Linked DNA regions of Drosophila melanogaster. The protein of the gene in region 2 interacts with the protein of the main gene of each other region in a pairwise test. Each region holds a gene or a part of one and is shown on either strand. Other genes may lie near its edges.

What was found.
Region 1: the proteins of Mes2 (region 2) and RecQ4 interact in a two-hybrid assay, tested with the Drosophila melanogaster proteins (one large-scale study listed by BioGRID).
Region 3: the proteins of Mes2 (region 2) and CG6707 interact in a two-hybrid assay, tested with the Drosophila melanogaster proteins (one large-scale study listed by BioGRID).

Annotation. Positions count from the first base shown.
Region 1 is NT_037436.4:8,170,140-8,177,608, forward strand, and holds RecQ4 (RecQ4 helicase), read right to left. Parts: upstream 5,840-7,469; 5' UTR 5,718-5,839; coding exon 5,616-5,717; intron 5,563-5,615; coding exon 2,393-5,562; intron 2,330-2,392; coding exon 1,589-2,329; intron 1,527-1,588; coding exon 1,351-1,526; intron 1,292-1,350; coding exon 975-1,291; intron 914-974; coding exon 680-913; 3' UTR 501-679; downstream 1-500. Other genes in the region: Nmt (N-myristoyl transferase), read right to left, coding at 6,287-7,469.
Region 2 is NT_037436.4:22,944,106-22,951,669, reverse strand, and holds the start of Mes2 (Mesoderm-expressed 2), read right to left. Parts: upstream 6,014-7,564; 5' UTR 5,884-6,013; coding exon 5,730-5,883; intron 5,676-5,729; exon of another isoform or gene 5,486-5,675; intron 5,401-5,485; coding exon 5,100-5,400; intron 1,139-5,099; coding exon 280-1,138; 3' UTR 1-279.
Region 3 is NT_037436.4:9,894,307-9,900,389, forward strand, and holds CG6707 (uncharacterized protein), read right to left. Parts: upstream 4,270-6,083; 5' UTR 4,217-4,269; intron 4,131-4,216; exon of another isoform or gene 3,897-4,130; 5' UTR 3,750-3,896; coding exon 3,623-3,749; intron 2,441-3,622; exon of another isoform or gene 2,424-2,440; coding exon of another isoform or gene 2,402-2,423; intron 2,330-2,401; coding exon 2,148-2,329; intron 2,083-2,147; coding exon 1,873-2,082; intron 1,817-1,872; coding exon 1,652-1,816; intron 1,571-1,651; coding exon 1,454-1,570; 3' UTR 501-1,453; downstream 1-500. Other genes in the region: Hez (hezron), read right to left, coding at 38-226, 284-364; CG46387 (uncharacterized protein), read left to right, coding at 4,425-4,862; nudE, read left to right, coding at 5,699-5,778, 5,847-6,000.

The DNA.
Region 1 (7,469 bases), about 15 Mb from region 2:
CCTCACAAAATGGCCAAGTCATAAAAAACCTTTATCAAACGCTTCGCTGATCCGACAACTTCAATGATGTTTCTCTGTTTCCAGTTGTCTGTGCCCTGAGTTGTTGTTAGATCCCCCCATTTGTTGGGTTGTTTGCTTCGCGTTCGTGTGAACTGAGGAAGGACGACCTTTGGCTAGGCTTCGATTTGAAGATGACACCTTCGACCGGGGTTATACATTTCGTGATGTTATTGGGAATGACTCAGCCGGATGTTTGTTTCTTTACGGGCTCCATCGAATTGATTTCTGCTGTTTCATTTGAAGCCGTAGCTGCAATTTGCCTCTAAACGAGCTTGGCATTTGTTTACTTTATTTTAGTGCTCTGTTGTTTTCGGCAATGAAATTATCATAAATTGTTATTGTTCCATTGGCGTGGGATTGTATGGTGCAAATTTATTAGCTAATGAAACACATAGATTTAGAGAGTTTAAAAACCAAGCTAAAAATTTAGATTGTCCGTACGAATTTCTCTTTCCACTCATAATAAGTACAAAAGCTGTTTATATAGAATTTGTAATTTATTTTTGTATTATCAGACTTGTGCGAGTAAAATGTTATTGAATGGCATCACATATTTTTAAAATTCTTGGAGCTATTAATTGGTTAACCATGGTATCGGCGGTTCATCCCGACATTACGGTCACGTACGCCTCTTGATAATAGCCATATTGGCCAGGTGCAGGATGCGATTGAAATCCACTTTGACGTGGGCACGCCAGAACTTACAGCGTCCCCAGATGACAGCCGGATAGTTCGGGCTCATGATGCCATGAAAGATGCGCGCAATATTACGTCCGGTAAATGTATTGTCCGGGTACATGTTTATTAGAGCATGAACGTCGTCTATGATGTTCTCATCCGGCACGTTACTTGGCTAATGGACAGAGAGGAAAGCAATAAAAGTAAGAAATTGAAATGTGTTGCCAAGCAATTACCTCTATTTCCAGCTCCAGATCCTGTGGGTAGTCATTGGCAAAGTAGTTGCGCACGATAGCCTTTAGCTGCTCGCCCCGATCCTGCGGAAAATCCGCATTGCAGCACTGGCCACAAGAGCTGTAGGCCACAGCAGCCAATCCATGGGCCACATATTGCAGCTGGATGAGCTGCGTACGCTCCTGTTTCACGGATCGCGTATAGAGAGTGTCCAGAGCGTTGTCGATCTCTGATTCGGTAAAATCGCCCGGCACCTTGATGCGGAATCCCAAATCATAGAAGCTCACCGTGATGGGCGATCGCTTGGGATATCCATTTACTATCGAAAAATTAATTTCTAATTAAACGGATCCTTTTTTGAACGGATTACCATCTCACCTTTTACCCACTCCAGATCCTTCAGTTGGTATTTGACCACACCACTGTTCCAGCCAATTCCTGCCGCGATATCTGTGACCGAGAATTCTATGATGTTAGAGTCCTCCTTGAATGTCTTATCTCTAATCTGCAAAGCAATAGCCATGGCCAATGGTGGACATTCCTTTGCAGCATGCCTGTGCAAGGAAAAACCAATAACATTAAACACATACACAATACACGTGTCTAAAGGACTTACTTCAAGTACTTTGGCCCACCATACGAGATTACCTTAGCCATCACATATGCTGAGCTGAGCACACTGATGCACCATCGGGGATCAAGCTCCATGTAGCAGAGCAAAGTAGATATGTTCTCCGCCGGGATGTCCAGCATCTCAACGGTTTTCTCCACGGAAAAGCCAATCTCGTGTCCCGGACACATATGCACTCTAGGACCATCACCTTCAAGGGGAATCGGAAGAGCTGTCCTCTTGGAAGCCTCCTTGTCACAGCTACATGGCACAAAGATCTTTTGCAGCAGCTTACGGATAACATGCCGATCAATGGAGTTAGAATACACATGGCGACGCAGCTCACTCTGGTCGCCACCCTTCGCATCCAAGAAGAGGTGACAGTGGGAAGGCAACCCGTCGCGTCCTGCTCGACCAATTTCCTGCACATAGCTCTCAAAGTTTCTTGGCATATTATAATGGATTACCGCGCGTATGTCCGGCTTATTGATGCCCATACCAAAGGCAATGGTGGCCACCACAATGCGCAGCTCATTGCTCATGAAGGCCTTCTGAACGGTTCGTCGCCTGGAAGCGGGCATTCCAGCGTGATAGGGCTCAGCCTGCCAATTCACACGTTTACGTTTTTTCGTCTGATCCTGAGTTGGCTCCCTACGGTCTTGCACGCACGTTCTAATAAACCCAGCGATACGCTCACACTCGTCACGACGCGTACAATAGATAATAATGGACTGGCAGGGCTCGAAGCTAGAATGATCAAAATGTATTTAAGTCTCCTTCAAGTTTCAAAGATGGTGGGCCAAGTCTTACCGTTCGCTATTGAGCAGTTGGAGCAGAGCTGCATCCCGGTTCTCATCCTTGGAGACGGACAGCACTAGATTGTCAGGCAGTGGGATGTCGCTTATAATACCACGTTCTCCATCCGATATGCCAAGGTGATTTATAATGCTAACACGCGTTGGCAAAGTTGCCGTGGCTGTTAGCCCCAGCACTGTGCGTACACCGAGATTCTTTCTCAGCACCTTGCAGATCATTAGGTAGCTGGGTCGAAAGTTGTGACTCCACTGAGACACGCAATGCGCCTCATCAATACAAGCGAATGCAATGGGCGGCAGCTGGCGAAGAATGGCTCCAAATCCTGTGGCTCGTTCCCCGGCGACAACCGCCTCCGGAGAGACAAGAAGAATGTCAATCTCCCCATTGGCAATCATCTGCTGAATCTTCATACGCTGCGGCGCGGTCTGATTAGTGTGCAGGCAGTGAGCTCGCAGAAAGTGCGGCACCCCGGTCACCTGATCCTCCATAAGTGACACCAATGGTGAGATGACTAGGGTAATAGCTCCCACTTTCCGGCTATACAAATAGGCGGGCAATTGGTAGCACAAAGATTTGCCGCTGCCCGTGCTAAGTGTAACTAGCGATGATAGTCCAGAGAGAGTGCGCATGATGGCGCGATCTTGACCTTTCCTGAAGTTGGTGTGCCCGAACATGTGGAGTGCCTCTAGGACCTCTGGCGTCGTGTCCTGGACACTGCCATCCGGAAGGAGATCGTATAGGGGCTTCACCCCACCGTGCTGGCTGCGATTCGAACTAGAGGCTGTGGTGTCCAGTCCAGCCTGCTTGAGGAACTCCTCGGGAATCTTGTGGCCGACGTATGTCTTAATAGGTGAAGCTGCTTTCTCTTGCGAAACCGGTTGGCTTAGGGAAGCTTCGACGGCCGCATCTAGGGCCTCGAAATCAACGTCCATTTCATCGCTAGACCAATTTGGATCTGGATGCTGCTGTACCTCCTCATCTCCGCTGCTTTCTTGGTCATCTTCCTCTGACTCGTTCAACTCATCGCCTTGCAGGATGGCTGCATTGGCCGCTTGGGGCAGCCGTGAGATGTTGCGACTGTGTGCCACCACTGCTCCCTGACTGGCCATCTCCTGAGCCTCGGCAAGCGTGGGAAACGGCGAGGGATCCTCTTCCAGCTGTGCCGAAAGTGGCAACAAGCTGTCTCCCTTCACCTTGCACTGCTGAGCGAAATGCCCGACTCCGCCGCACTGGAAGCACGTGAGCACTCCGCCATCACAGCCACCCATATCCATGTCCGGCCCACTCAAGGCAGCCACTCGTTTCTTATGCCGCCACTGTTGCTTCTTGTACTTGCTGAAGTTCACGGACTTTTTGCCACGCACGAATTTTTTCTTTTGAATATTTATGGTCACAAAGTTCTCGTTTAATTTACCAGCTGCTATGCGTTCCTCCAGCTTCTTTCGTGCTGCGGCTCTCTTTTCATCCACTCGAATGTTGGACCCTTCCGACAATCCTGGGTTGGGTCCAGCGGCGAAGGTTCTAATATAGCGCTGGGCGGTAGCATCCGCTTCTTCTAGATCCTGCACATTAATGCGCGGAACGGAGGTAATATCTCCCGCCTCCAAGGCCAACACGTATTTCAAATCTTCTGGATTCAATGGTTGGCGCTCATCCTCTTCTGGATCAGGAGCCGGCTCGACAGCGATGGCTTTTTTAGAGTTCCTCGGCTTTTTCTCCGCCTTGGGTTTCTTTTCGGCCTTGACTTTGGCTTTCTTTTCTGTTTTCGGTTTTGGTTCCGCTTTGGGCTTAGTGGTCTTTTGTTTTCCGGCGGCTTGCTTGCGCTTTGCCTTATCTTTCTTTTTATTCTCTGGTACATATGTAGCATCCTGGTCTTCATCTGCAGAGAAATCTGGATTCTCTTGAGCAAATGTTTCTGTCTCTGGTTCGACTTTGTTGGGAATTTCAACTGGGGCGGCTACTTCCACTTTTCCTGATGCTGTTGAAACAATTTTGCGACGTTTTGATAGTTGCCGATATTCTTGTGGTTCCTGCTCTTCTTCACTCTCAGCCACAACAGAGTCGGAATCCGAATCGGTTTCCTGCTCGGAAGGTGGAGGTTTATTTTTAGGAGCGACTGATTTTTGACTGGATGCAGGAGGTGTGTGATTAAGATGATCTGGTTTCTGGTTCATGCTAGAATTCATATCTGTTTGCAGCTCCTGTATGATTGCCATTTGATCGGGCTTGGCCTGCAACACTTTTTCCTCCTTAACAGTGGGCTTTAGTTTACTTAAATCAAGATTGGCCAGGCCAAAGTTTGTTTTCTTGGACGTACCACTGTTATTATTTGCTTCCGCAAAGGGCACTTCTTCATCAAGAGTGTTTTCCTTTGTATTTCGCCGGAGCCAGCCGTCGTCCACCAGTGTTTTGATACTTTCCTTGCTGTGCTCACTGGCCAGCATTGGATTGTTAGCTATGGCCTGCTGCTTCTCCTTGTACTCCTGGGCTTTGCGTATGAGTATGGTCTCAAAGTCGAGCAGTTCCTCGTGATGATCAGTAGGAACTGAGCTAAGTGATGTGGTGGAACTAGAGGAACTGACACAACGTGAAAGCGGCTTTCGGGGATTTCGTTTAGCAAAACCGCGTGAGGATTGGAATAACTTGGCACTCAAGCTGGGCTTAAGACTAGCGCCCGCTTTGGGTTGCTTTCCGTGCCCCGGAGCGGATTTGGAGGCCTCTACAGGCTGTGGTGGAGCTGGTGGCTTCTTACTCACATTCAAGCCCCAGGCATTTTGGTTGATTGGCAGCTCCTCCACCGCCTCGAATTTGCGAATGACATGGTTTTCATCGCGATTGACCAGATTGGTGAGTACTTGACGATTGGGCAGGTCGATGAGATTTGAGAATGAGCCCTCCACCGATTGTGGAATTTCCTCAAGATTACCAGAGCTCTGCGGCCCCACCAGTGCAGATATATCCAACGGTAGCTGAGGACCTTCATTAAGACTGACGTCCTGGTCCAGCATGCTCACACCGAAATCACTGGCCTGCGACATCTCCAGAATATCGTATCCATCTTCGCTGAGAACATCGTTCAGCGTCTCTTCCAGGAAGGATGTCTTCAGTTTGTAGTACATTTTGTATGAGTCCCGAATCTCCTGACTGGCGTCCCTTATATCATACTGCAACAGGTCAACCAGTTAGCATACTTGTCATATCCGCATCCCAATCTCACCTTCGATGGAACACGGCCATTCTTCTTCTTGAAGTCCTTCTCCCACACCTTGACGCGCAACTTGTACTTTTGGTATTTTAGCTTGAACACCGAATCGTCCATGTCGGCGGCTGTCTTTAATTGTCAATATTATGAGGAAACCAACATTGGAATCAGATTTCGTTAACTAATAAACCAACACAAGTGCAGCTGTTTTGCTTAGCGCGCGCTTTTTCACCGACCTTGCCAGACCAATGGCCATGTGACAGAGTGGCCAGACTATCACATGCTGGGACAGTGGGCAAAAATACAATAATCTGCTTAAAAAAAATAAAAACTTGTCATCTTTAAAAGAGCAGCAAAATAATTTATTGTCAATTATAGGCAATAAAGGTCCAAGTAAACGTTACATTTTTATTGATATTGCTGCGCATTTTATACAATTTGTGTTCGTTCTTGTAGTAAAAAATATCGAAGCTTGGCCGTTGCAAAATGCAATTTTCACAATGATGCTATTTAGGTGTATGCTCGCAAAGGGCTTTCCTCGCTGGAATAACTGAAGATTACAGGTAATAGCTACGTAAATAGGAGCAAAGCAAAGCAGCCGCACGGCACTTCCAGCAGGGTGAAGAAAGCGGAGGAGGGGAGCTGTGAAAGGCAGGGCGAGAATGTGAGCTTAGGTGACAAGGTGACTACATGAGTATCAGAGCAATCTCCTCCGGCTGCATCGATGGACAGCGCCAATTGTAGAGGTAGTACTGCAGGTTTCCATCCCCGGCGCCGAATTTTAGCGGTGCAAAGTACTTCTTGTTCTCCATGAGGTCGAGGGCATTGTACACGTCCATCTGGACATTGCGGGCCGAGATCAGTGCATCGTTCATCAGGTCCAGCCACGGGGTCTTTGTAGACACATTATAGAACGAATATGCGGCACGAACCGTCTTATGCACCGGATGGTGCATCACGGACGATGGCAGGCAGTAGTAGCTAGTCAGATCAGTGATGTTGCCCTTTTCGTCGGCAACCACGAAGCAATCGATAATACCTTCTTTGGGGGTAAACCAATGACGAAACTCTTCCTTGCTGAACACCGGGCTCAGCTGAAAGCGCTTTAGGTAGTCCTCCAGCAGCTTGTGGGCCTTGTCCATGTCCTTCGCTGTGATTCGGCGATAGCCCTTCGTCTTGGGCTGATCGGGTAGCTTGTACAGCTTCATTGTCCGCTGCATGGTCATGTTACGTGCGAGATGAGAGAAACGCACGTCTACCAGCTTCTTGGGATTGAGCGATCGATGCCAATAGCGACAGGTGGCCACTGGCGTGGGCAACACAACTCCAGCTGTATAGGCCGCCTGGAAAATCCCCGTCAGATTGACGCGACGCGTTATCTCCCGAATCAGGACTGGAGCCACCCGTTTGCTGCGCAACTTCTTGTGGACGCATAGGAAGTTGATGTCCACAACCTTTAGCACCTTGTCGTACGACTTCAGCTTGCTGGGAATGGCTGAGATGAAGCCAACCAGTTTGCCGGACTTCTCCACACGAACGCCAACATGCCAATCGCGTTTCCAGCCAGGTGGCTGCAGCGACCACTTTAGAAACTCGGGTTGGTAATCGAAACGGAACATGGCATCATCGTCCTCCACATAGTTCTCATTGAGCAGCGTGTACAGCTCCTTGAGATCATTGGCGTCGTTCAGGTCTAGTGTCACCCATTTGAAGCCGCCTGGCAGAGTGTATGGCAATGCTCTAATCTCACTAATTTCCTTGTTCGGTTCAATGCATTCGTTGGTGGTCACCTGCTCGTCCAGCTTGGTGACTGGCTGTGTGGACCAAAATGCAAACTTCTTGGCCATCTGACGGGTGCTGGCCATAGCA
Region 2 (7,564 bases):
ACGTCTTTGTGTTGTCTTTTCGTTGAGTTTGGTTCATTTTTGTTAATAGGAGCGAAAAAATTAGAGAATGTTTTAGAAAATCATTCATATTTGATTGATCCTTTTGGTATGGCACAGATTTGGCATTGGCAAGTAAATTTGTATTTCTTTAGGAAAGTAATATATAATGGCAAGAAAATTCAGTTATAAGTGCTCTGAGCAGCAACATCATTCCATTATGTACTTTTTTTTGGCTACTATAATTACACCCGTACACTTAGCGCTCTTCTCCTCCGCTGTCTATTTCGTGGACCCTTCGCACTGCTGCACTTGAACCAGTAAGAGAAGAATGCGATTCATTAAATTGTCCGCGTCCGAGTCCTCCATGCTGTTTAGCTTGGCTGAAATAAAGCCGCAGAACTTGGAGTTCAAAACCTCACGTACAGTTTGTGGGGGCGGCAGATCCAACCCTCCGCTTGCGACGCCCTGTTGCTGCCGGAGATGGCGGTGCTGTTGCAGCATTTGTTCTTCGTAGTCGTCACCATCGATAACCGCATCGCCGTGACCGTTTCCTTCCTCCAAAACATCTTGATCGACGTTACGGCGAAGCTTGCGGGACATGACCACATCGTCCACACCAACATTGGGGCTACCGCGTGAGTTGGAATCCAGAATCAGAGGATAAGGGAAATCTGCATCGATGGCATCCAACTCCTCCACTACGTCGGATGCGTGGGCGATATCTTCGTCCCCGCTGCGTATCGAGCTGTCGTCCATGTCTTCATAGCTGTGATGCTGTGCCCTTTGCTCGTTTCTCGTTGAGCTCACCCGACTGTCGTTGTGAGCCTGGTGAGCGGGCAGAGGAAGTGGCCCGCCGCCGGAGCTACTCCCACTTGTGCTACTTCCGGCCCCACCGCCCACCGAGAGATCCAGCTCCGGCTTCACATAGTAGTCGCAATAGTAGTGATCGTCGCTTACATTGAGCGAGGAGCACTTTGAGAGATTTAACACTGAGGCGGACTCGTTAAAGGAATTGGACAGCTTCAGGGTCATTGCCTTTCCCCCTGCAGCCAAGCTGTTACTGTTGTTGTTGTTGTTGTTGTTATTGTTAATATGGCCATAGGTTGTCAGGCTTAGATCGGTTGCATGCGAAGCGCCCCTATAATAGAAAGAACATATGTTAGAAGACTAAATTATTTCACATTTTAACGGGTTTAAGGTTGGGTTTTACTTTTGCGTCATATTCAATATTCATATTCGCAGCAAGTCTGCGGTATTTTTTTATTTTGTATTGATGTTAAGTTGAATACTAATAAAAATTTGATGAAGGAGGTTGTTTAAAAGGGCATACAAAAAGATTAATAAATTTATTAAATACAATAACATATAACCGTGACTAGTGGTTATGTACATTGTTTTTAATACACTTTAAGAACCGCCTACGTTCTTAAATTAAAAGTAGAAAGAATACTTTTCTTTGTCTCTCACACATCATTTATAGTATAACAGATTTTCTTTCTCTTATCTTAAATTATATTAATTACAATAAATAAAAAAATATTAAATAATGCTGGCAATAATCATTTGCAAAACGTTGGGCAAAAAATTAGAAATAGAATAGTCTGAAAGACAAATCAATAAGTTCGTAAAACTTTGCTAGGTTGTCATCAACTAATTAGCTTTGTTTTATGCCGACGGACATTGCGATCGGATAGTGACCCTGATAAGGAAAGCATGTTCGTATTAATTGTGAGTTCGAAAACACACAAAAATATAATTGTATTAGCCTTATAGAGTTCATATGTTTCCTGTGACTCAACGATTCATATCCCCATTTTGAAATCTTGTCTGTTTAAGGCAATAACACAAGAAATGCATAAACATAAATGTCTTTCAGTGTAGTATCGCTTCCTGTCTCTCTCCTTACGCGTCTCAAGTTTCAAGAGCATTTTCACAGGCAATGCAGCTGCCTGGGCCGGGTGCTCAAAGAACATCTGAACGTGGCTATTTTGGGCCTCCCCCATACCTATAGTTATTTGCCGAATGCAAAGACCTGGCCTAGTGGTAGGCACGGGCATGGGCGACCTAGAAGACAGCCTTATCACCGCAATCGGCTGCAGGTAGTTGACAATTGTAAAATTTGAAAACTGATACTCGCTCGCCAGCCAAGACCAAAAAACTCGCAGGACTAATCGAGTCGAAATACATTTTCACATGTTCCACAATCGGGAATGGCTTTATTTACTTCATTATTTTGACTTGGTTTCTTTTCGGGGTTTGAATCGCTCAGCTTATCATTATTTGCTTCCGCTCTTGCTTAGGTCCCAAGCCGTTTTCCGAGATTGTTTATGGGTTTTTGTGGTTTGAATTCGTTTTCTAAAATCTCTATCACCTGCACTTGGAAACAAATCTATGAATATTAATATAATAATAACATAATTAAATATTCCAATGGTCCGAATGAGATTTTAGATTTTTGCAGACCTAGAACTTTTTATTATGATTTATTAGGCAAGAACTAGCTCCATGCAAAGGCATTTAAAGGTACGAGAATCAAAAGGCAAGCACGGACTACCGCCCACTTTTCTTCTTCCGTGACGCATTGGCTAAAGCATTTCAATGCGAAATACGGCGGACAGTGATTTCAGGGCGTGGGGCGAGATTCGGATTGTGGGGATGACGGACAGCCAAACAATTTCAGCAATTTCGCAGCACATTTGCTTATTAAATCATAAGCGTGACACAGACAGAGCCCAGCAGAACTTTCACACCCAAGTGGCCTCGTGTGTGTGAGGGTGAGGGTACGAGAGCCCCCCATTAAGAGAGGACTGAACGACGAAAGCATGTGGGCCAGGGCAGCCTGAAAGAGGCGTCCAGACCCCGACTCTGGGTCTCAGCAACCCCTTGGCCGGGACGCGGCCGATGCGGCTGGCTAATGGTCGTGGGCATATTTTTAACCCTGGCCGAAGTCAGACCAAGCTATTCGTTCAATTACTCAGCTCACCCATACAGCGATCTTTACGAGTGTTCGGTGCTCATGTCATACACACACAGGCAGAACCTCGCTCATTTTCCCTTACCAGCCCCTTTCTCGCTCACGAGCTACCAGTCTTTCCCAACTTGGTCCACTCGCAATCCGTATTCTTCGGTGCTGATTGTCATTTTCGTAGTGCTCTCATTAATTTATCGCTCTCTCGGCGCCTTCCCATAGTCCCCACCCCTCTCGCAAGCACTATTCGATGGACTTGGTCTTGCGTTTGCAGCTTCCCTCAATTTCGTTTTTGGTTCAAGCAGCGACGATGCTGCGACGTTGTATAATATTCGCCGCTTGGCGAGATCTGTGTTATGGCTATGGCTGTGGCTATAGCTGCGGCTATAGCTCCGGCTCAAGCGCTGCCCGACTGGCCGGGCCCGTTGAGCTGTCTGTTATCAGCTCACAATAATAAAAATTTAAATATATACACACACCATGGGTGAGTGTGCGCGGGCATGTGTCGGGGCCGTCGACTGCTTGTTGCCCATGTGGGTACAGTCAATTGAAAGGAAATGGCCTTATTTCATATAAATATGTACATAAAGTACACACACTCACACACACACACACACCCGCAGCTCGAGCACGGCTCCATATGAGCCAGAACATTGGACGGGGCAGACTCTCGACTGAGACCATTTGCGGGTCTCTGGCCCGGTCATTCCTTTGTTCGGATTGGTTTTTTCCACATTACCGCTCCTTAGTGTCCATATGCCCCCTTGCCTTGTTTTTGCTATTCTTTTTCGCTGGGCAGATGTTTTCTCAGACACGGTGCTGAGATTTGCTCGAATTGTTGGGCGTTTATGCAAATCGACTGGGCTAAGGGATGAGTTTTGTACGAAGGCTCGAATGGAAGTGGAATTTCGTAGTTACGGTTCGAATAACTTTATGCTAAACTTATCACATGTTTTTTATGTGACAATTGTATGTATTGTCTATTCGATCTGAACATATTTCCGAATTCTCAATTTATTTAAATTGTCAGATCTTTACGAAGTCCGTGATTCTATGATTTTTGAAATAAATTTATTGACATATTTTGTCCAACATTAGATCTAAGCCATGACTCACAAACTCATACACTTCTCAGTGTACATAAGCTGAAGTGGCTACTCGCATAAAATGATAAGATTCTTGGAATTTCCTGCAATAATTATTTTTGATTGAGCCAAGCTAAACAACATTGTTCGCTTGACTGACTACTGACAAGCACACATATTTTTAGGGGGGCAGATTCGGAAAAACCTCTTTCAGACACAGGACTGGAAAGCATACAATACCTTCGACCAATGTAAATGATCGTTGGAAAGGTGAGTCACATTATTATTGTGTATAAGTTAGCTAGTCTTCAAACTGATGCATGTATTTGTTTCGCATGAATCAATCCGTGTATGACCAAAACAGAAGACCAATCTAAACCGAAAACTGTTATTCACGACTCAAGCCAAACTTTGACCGTTGTTCGATGGTTGTATGGTTAGTGACGGCTTATCAAACTCATTGTAATATAAGTAGCCAAATGTACTCCTGACACAAATAATGTTCAGAGTGTAAGACGATATTATTGAAGAACTGTAGTCGTAAGGGAGCATTACTTTTGAGAAATAACGGTTCCACTTTTAGATTTGTTTTGGTATCGATCTCCAAAAAGCAGAGGATAAGAATAAGTACGTTAATTAAGATCATTTTGGGAAAGGTAAATATTGCCTAGAAAGATTAAAAGAAAACTTGGAAATAAGTGCAATACGTTCTGTAATAATTATTCGTTGATATAGAATTTCATGTACTTTACTATTCGATTATAAGAATGACTCGTATTTCTGTCAAATTTTAAATTTAAGCGCTCTTCTCTCGTGTTCTATTATTGCTTTTGCTTTTGTAAAGCCATTTGGATGAAGATCATTTTTAGTGACATGATTTGTGGTGTGGCAATAATGGGTCAAGCAGAGAATGCAAAATTCATAACGGGCTCTATATTACTGGTCAACCCCAGGAGTCGATATTGGCATGAAACTTCCTTGACGGTTTTAAATTTAAGAGAATCACCTGGTCACCAGTTCACTAAAATACTATTCCTTATACTTACTTTCGTTCTCTGATGACATCGCGCAGGAAATCCATGGCCTCATAGAGACTCCACTTGGGCTTGAAGCCATTGCCCATTAGCTTGACGTGGGCGAGTTCACGGCGGTAGGATTCCCTCAAGGACTTGAAGGCCCGTGCAACGCGACGCCCGGGAGCGTTGAACTCGCGGCCTATGTGCTCCCAGGCTCGGTTCTTTTCTTCTTCGGCGCCCTTGAAATTCGGGAGACGGGAGTCCCAGAGAATTGGATTGTCGTGCACCATTTGGATGAGCTTCAGCTTGTCGGAGGCGTTGCGCCGAACCACTGTTGGGACACAAAAATGAATGCAAATAATATAAGTCCTCGAGTCTCGACAGTCGAATATTTTAAGAAAGCACGGTACAGGCACCTCAAAACTTCTATAAGTCGAACTTTTTTAACCCAAATGTACATACATACGTATGTACGTATATGTATGTACATTGCACATAGGGTGAACCGAACTATTTGAATAGGCAATGAAGAGATAAAATAAATTCTACTGCTTGTTCGACGTATCGACTTTCGACTGCATTTTGCATAAAAATTGTACATATATACATATGTATGTACGTATGTTTGCATGAATGTGGGGAATAAATCTGTGTACGCACATTTCTTTATCTTCTGAGAGGGCATGGCAGTTGCGGCGGCCAGGGGGTGGGGCTCCAACTTGGGCTTCATGTCAAGAGCGATTGCCGCGGCGGCAGCACTCATGTCCTGCAGCGAGTGGGTGGCGGTGGGCAAACAGCCGCTCACGGGCGCCATCAGAATGTTCTGGAGGATTTGAAGGCTTGAACTGGCCAGGGCTCCACAGTACTCTTTAGTTCGGACGCGATCGCGGTCGGCTGATAACGGGGCTGCTACCCTCTCACGACCAAGTTTAAACGGCAACTAAAAACCAAGACCAGAAAATAACAACCACCGCGGCAAGCGGGCTGCGCTCAGCCGTCGTCGACGCCGAGCCGGCAGCGCAGTTGGCAGCAAGCCCGCATTCAGAGCCAAAAAATCACGCGCATTCGACATCGACATGAGAGCCAGCTATAGCTCTTTGCGCTCTCTGTCTCTCTCCGGCCGTGGCTCGCTGCCACCGTTCCCGTTATCTGATCCAGACATATAGGTCTAAAGCGCTCTCCGGGCGCTGCCTAGAGCGCGACTCGCCGGATGGAAACCCCGTTTAATCGCAATCACAAGCCACAGAAAGTAAAAGCAAGCGAAAAGCGGCGTCGCACACACACACACACACAACAGGGAGAACGCGCAGAACGAAACAACAGAAAATGTGTGTAATACAAAAATCCGTTGACGCGTTCGCATTTGGTTTTAGCAGAGGAATTGTCGAGCGTTCGTACGTACTTGCATACATATGTATGTATGTACTACATGAATGTACCATATACACATGTATGTACATACATACATACGTACCAAAATACTTGGATAGCGTTTCTTGGCAGAATACGCTGCACTTCGGCCATATCAGCTTCAATTAATATAGGGGGGTCGATTCCCGTATCGGAACAATTTCGAGGAATTTAAAGAATTCATGACTATGTACATATGTACATACATTTATTGTAAATCTCCAACGCATTAAGGTTTTAGACTAACATAATAATTATAAGTTTACTGGAGTACACACATACATATAATCTTGATCTGTCCGCCTGTCCGTTCGCATGCAAGTTAGTGCGTTCGCAAGCCTATCCAGACGCCATGAAACCGTTTATTGGCCAGGTATCCTGCTCTCAGTTGTGAAAAGGGATTTGATTTTCATTTCATTTTGTTATATAAATGTAAATTTCCATCGAAATGACAAAAAAAATCTCAAAATTCGCTGAGTAACGGGTATCTGATAGTCGAAAGTAATCGACTATTGTTCTCTCTTGTTTTAAATAAATAAGAAGAGAGAACGCACGAGTTCCCCGAATATCAAATACCTTTTACTCAGCTAGTGGAAGTGAGAACGCGAAATTTCATAATTTTTTAGGACCATCGATAGATATTGGACAAGAAGAAATGGGAGGTTTGTGGTCGTTAGAGTGGGCGTGGCATAAAGTTTTTGTAGCAAATCGATAGAATTTTACAATACTAATAAAAATGTGAAAAAAAGATATAACATATTTTTCAAATGTGTGTCCGTGACAGGTTTCTGCGGCTTACGGTCGATAGTGGGTGTGGCATAATCGATAAAAATTTATAATTAAAAAAGATGAAAAAATATCAAAACTTTTTTAAAAGTTTTTTTGCAAAACCATACACATTTGCAAGACTAATAAAACTATGAAAGAATATCAAAACAGTTTTCAAAAGTGTGGGCGTGACAGTTTTGCCCGACTTGTGGGCGTGGAAGCAAACTGGCTCTGTGTCTATGTTTCTAGAATCTGTATGCATAATCTTGACCTTCTAGTTCTTATAGCTCCTGAGATTTCGACGTTCAACGGACGGA
Region 3 (6,083 bases), about 13 Mb from region 2:
GGTTTCTTTTAAATATCTATATAGAGAGTGCTTCTACCATGGGCAAATCAATCGGTTCTGGCTGTTGAACTTCAGCCGGCGGAATTGCTTCCTTTACTATTTCAATGTCCATGCACAGGGATAGGTTCACAATGGTCACATTGCAAGTGGTCTGTTCGTCGCCACCGCCATTGCTTGATGGACACTTCATTATCAGCATTTTCACGCCCAGATCGAAGGCCACAACCTGGGAAATTGAAAGCATTACATAATCATAAAAATAATAAATAATATTTAGTTTTACCTCGCCCGAAATGTTGTCGCCAAAACAAGTCTTGCAGCGCACAATAGAGCCCACAGTAAAGCAAGGAGCCAATGATGACATCTTGGCCAAGGAACTTAAAAACTTTAAAAATGTAATCGAAATCGAAAATCCCAGCCGATGTCCGATGTCAAGTTCAAGGCACTCTATTCTACTTTCATAGCCTTGTCATTTTGTCGCCAAAAAGTTGGTGGTGCTTGTGGTTTTATTTCTTTTTATTTACAGTGTATGTATGCTAATTTATAATGTACTAAATATAAATGTTGTTGTATATATATATATATATTTCAAAAGTAAACCGTTCCTTTTAATCATATATATATATGCAATTTCGCAGTTTAGCAGTTGCTGTCTAAATTAATTTTCTTTATATCTGCATGAGCGTTTGCTTGTTCTCTGTTGTTCAAGAAATGTTGCTTTGTTTATTTGCATTATAATTATGTATTTATGGTATTGTATATGCGCGTATGTGTATGTACCTTCATTAGCACTATTAGCATACCCTTCAAATTGTTTCTAACGCCAGGCAACAAAACGCTTTCCTCCGCTTTGGCGAGAACTGAGAAAAAGTGCATTGGTTAAATTTTAGGCAACACAAAACTCAAAAGCGTATCAACGAATACGTAATGTATGAATACCGAAATATCTTGCAGGACAGGCACGAACGGATAACAAATCGGACACTTAAACAACGAAACTGTACAATCTTTAAAATGGATCCTGACGATTCTAAAAATGAGATGCACTGTGGATTGATCGGTCGCTGGTCTAATAACTAATGACTGCCAACACAGATCGGGGTTTTCCTTTTTTACTTTTAGCACTTGAATGGTAGCTGCACGGCGACCCTTGAAATATTCGCTTTTAGTATAGTGTTTAGTTAGTTACGGCCTTAATATCCTAATTATGCTCTTCAACGGGGAGACCTTCTTTCGTAAATTTAGCTAGGTTTGCTATTAGTTTTGCTCGAAACGAAGAATTTTTGTATGTAGCTGAACTGCTGGAGAAATGTTCATATGTTCCGTCTGCAAATTGGCTGCTTGTGTTTAGTTTTAAATTTAATATCAAAAGGAATGATATATATGAATAATATATATATATAAAAATAAAACAATGCACTTTCTTCCTTGCTACTGGCCCCGTGCTTTAGCTTTACATTGGCCCATCGATGGCGCTCACTTTAAGGCGGAAATAGTAGGCGGACCTGGCCAGCATGCAACCCGAAATCACGAACAGCGCCACGTAGAGGAAGTACATGCCACCATGATCCTGGAAAAATGCAAAAGGAAACACACATATGGGTTTAGAAAATCACATACTTCAGCTTGATTTTAAATTGATTTGGCTTACCGAAGCAATCGAGTATGTGCCGATAGTTACAGCGATGCCTGTGATGAGGAACACCAGCGCCACGATGGCGAACATCACGGCGCGGCTGTTGGCAAAGCGCGAGCCCACCGATGAGACCTTCCTGCAGTGTGGACACCGGGCCAAGGCGTTGTGATACGTGTTGAACTGTAAGAGCAAGCGTTACAAGACTCCTGCTGCTGTGATTTGGATTAATAACTCACCAAAAACGTGTCCGAACAGTGGCCACAAGTGACGCGGCACATGCCCGGCATGGTTGGCACGGGCGGGGTGACGGGACTTGGGGCCAGGTTGATGATCCTCTTGCAATTGGGCCTTGGACAAGCGATTCGCTGCGACGAGCTCTTGCAGATTAACAAACAGTTGCATGGGCAGCGAACATACTTCTTGCCCGCTGGAGCGTTCCGAATGGGCTGTTGATAGCCAAAAGCGTATTAAGTTACAATTGGATTCAAAGAATCTGCTTAGAATTACTCACAGTAGCCTCATTGCAGTGGGTGCACTTGACCACGTGCTGCTCCCGCTTCGTGGTGATGTCAATCATGTGTTGACATACCCGACAGGTGACCATCGGGACGCCTCCGGTGTTGGTACTCTGCTGATACGGCGGCGGCAGCTCATCGGGTCCAATGCAAGGCACTGCGGTCGGTGCTCCATTGCCTAAAATTCCATTGCAAAGTATTATTAACTACTTATAATATTGTTAAGACCCATGCCCTTCAAAGGCGAGACCTTTGGTGTAGAATAAATACATCTCGCCAGCAGAGTTCGCTCAACCACACTGCTCATCTGGCGGTGATTGGCTCATGGAGGGAGTGAGAACTGCATTTTCTGATAGTGTGCAGTGTGTGGCTCTGGGAAGCTGCGATAAACCAAATGGGTCAATGTTTTGGCGTTATGAATGCAGCTTTCTCGTACAAGCATTAAACTAGTGCAACTAGACCGCAGTTGTGGTTCTCGTCTCTCGATCAAAACAAGTTCGAACTTTGTGAAAGACGTTTTTAAATGAAAACAACGCAAAGAGTAACATCGCACACACTCTTTAGGAAAATTGATATGAAGTGGATAAATTGCAAATAAAGTCATATTACTTTGGCTAAATAAATATATAATGTCAAAAAGAAAGGAATACAGAAAGATAACCTATGCAAATTAATTGGGAACATGGAAAGTCGTAAAGCCCTTGTAACTAAACTCTTGTATATATTAATGATATGGACAAGCTTTTTCCGAGCTGAAGATCAGGTTCCTTGGTAAACAATGGAACCACTGCTCATCGCAGACCCTCATTTTCGCCCTGTATTGCGATAAGGCAGCGAATGACATGATGACTCATGGACTCATTGACTGCCCCCGCTTAACCACCACTATAGCAACACCTCCGAATCGATGCTGATTAAACAGCTGTGGGGAACGCTTTTTGCGCTGATTACGAGCGTCCTAGCATAAACAATAACAAAGGCGGTGCAAAAATTTTGCCGATACCGGCGTCGAGTAACTAACTACAATCGATCTTTACATTTTTGGCAGCTCTTCACAATTTCGTGATAAAATTACATTTTTTTTATGGTGTACGTGGCCCATTTGATATTTAGGCCAATAAGAAAATTTTATATTAGGTTGTAAATTTTTGGTAATACCAATAATACTGGGCCCTATTAAAAAATAAAAAAATGGCAGATAATTTAAAATGGCATTTGGGCACCACATATCCTATCAGTTTTTCTTTCTGTGCAGTCCCATTGCTCTCCCCCCGCACCAAACCACACGCATTTATGACTCAGTTGGGTGAAGTGTGAAAATGCCAAATGAGACGGCGAGCAGACAACTCGGAATCACGGCGTTGGATCCGGATAAGTGGAGCGCCCGCACACTTGTTGGGCTTCCAATGGGTTGCCCGCCCGGCTGATTGGATGCGGGTTGAATGCCCGGCTTTACAGTAACGATACGCACCGTCCTCGTTTGTGGCCACCGATGAGTTGCTGCCGGGATTATCGGCACCCTCGTCCACGGCGTCCACGGAATTGTAGCCATTGCCGTCGTCCTTGTTGATCAGGCTTTGTCGCTCTGGATCCGCCATTGTGGACTATCTTCCGATAAATGGATATTTATATGTGTGGACTATAATCTCTATATGCTGGAGCAATTCCCGTTAGGCTGCACTTCCAGTTGCCTTTGTTTTGTTGTTGCTGTTGCTGCGGGGGCTGCTGCAACGCGTTGATTTCAACTGGAAAATGAGTGGGAAATCCAATAGTTTAGTTGCTGTGCCACATAATTTCGGACGCAACGAGCTCTTTGTTCACGATTGCCGCAGTAGTTTGGTTTTTTTTTTCTTCGTTCGTCGCGGTTTTCACTCGCGTTGATTGAAACACATCCTCCCTTTTTTCACTTTTCGGCATGCGCCGCAATTAATCAATTCGATGATGCTGCATGTGCAACGCCCACGCGAGCTCGATTGTCGCACTCACACAGTTGACATTTGGTTATAATACTGGCAATTGCGTTAATTGTTTAACAATTGCTGGCCATAATTGTGCTATATTTTACCTTATTTTTGTTGAAAATGCACTGCAGTCGCTGCGATCTGGCCACACTCTGGCTAGCTATCTGGCAACGATGTCCCGTTTGAGATTTTTCAGTTGCGGCCCTGCCAGGGAGTTGCCACATCGTTGTACTTGGTAAAGAACCAGAAACAGATCAGCGAAAAATTGTTCATTTTTGGAACCAAAACAATCCAGCGCGGCTTAAAACAAATATGTCTAAAATCACGAAAAACTCCAATAAAATTGACAATAAGGATTCTGTAAGCGGGGAAGGCTCAAATAGTGGGGACGATAACACGTCCACAAGTTCAAGTGACTTTGAAACAAGCAGAAAACACAAACTACGCCGCAAATCCTGTCGAAATGTATCATATCATTATCATGCGCTGCCCATGCGCGTAGTTGGCGAAAATGTTGCAGCACTGCCACAAACTCCCAGCTCCACTCGTGATTTAACACTAAGCTCAGCTCAAATAATTGAAGATAGTTCCGACTCTGAGTTTCATATTTCGGACGATACCAGCAACGATGCGCCGGCCAACAAATCGATAACGTTCACAGCACGTCCATTAGAGAAATATGATTTGGAATATATAAGAAAACTACGTAAACGCAAAAAAAAGCCGAGTAAAACTTTATATGTTGATTAAATTTCAAATAACAACTGTTGACCAGGGCTGGAAACGGCAAATGCCCATCTATTGGCCAACACTGGCAACCCAAGCCAGGGTTGGCTTGTGCGTTTTTGGAGTAGTGGTAAATTTTTACGAGCATAACTATTTACACTGATTTTATGTAAATAAAACAAACAAAACGTAGCAAAATTAAGTGCAAAGTGTAAGTAGTAAATGTGGACAGTCGTGCTGTATAAAATTCTAGGTATAAACACTGGAATTCTACGAAAAAATCACCGATGATTTCATTTCCATGCAGTGCGTTGTTGTATGGGAAACTTCGTCGTAGCTATTTGTTGTTGTTGTTGTTGCTGCTGCTCATCACCATCATCCTCGTTGTTTTCGTTGTTGTTGCCGCAGCAGCTGCGTCACAAAAATGAGTTTTGTTTAATTTGATTTTATTTACATTTGATATGGACAAAACCGACTGCCCTTTTAGGGCATCGAACAAGAACAACAGCAACAGTAACTACAAAATTCAGGGCAAACACCTGTTCCTAATTGATTTTTCACTTTTCTTCGCCGACTTCTAGTCTATTCACCACCCCCAACACACAAAACAAAAAAAAAGTAAAACTACGACTTGAACAACAACTGTGTTTTGGCATTTTAATCACAGCAATTAAAAACAAAGCAGCCAAAAAACACGAATAAATAACCCAAACAGTAATAGACCAACCGTAGTACATAGCATTGTTCAGAAATTAAAAGTTAAATCAATTCGAACGAACGAAATTACAAACCCATTTTGACCGCCGATTAGTACACAAAAACCAGAAAAAGGAGTTAGCAGCTAAGGAAAATTTGCAGAAATGGAGTCGCCCCCGATGTTCAATAGTGTGGAAGATGAGTGCAGATATTGGAAGGAACGATCTAAGCAGTACCACAAAGAGTAAGTGCCCATCCCTATTACAGTCTCCGAAATCAGCCATATAGCCTAGTTTTACTTTTAATTTTCAGGTGGACAGACGTGAAACAGGAGTACGACGAGTTTGTGGAGCAGTCCCGCGAAATGGAAATAGAAATGGACGCCACTCTGGACCAGAAGCAGAGTATAATCAAAGATCTCACAGCCAAACTCACAATGTTTGAGCGGGAAAACGAGTCTCTCAAGGTAGCTATAAGCTAAGCCCGATTTACACAAACTGAGCTTAATTCTTAGACTCAGTTTGCGTATATGTGGCTTTGAGCTCCCGA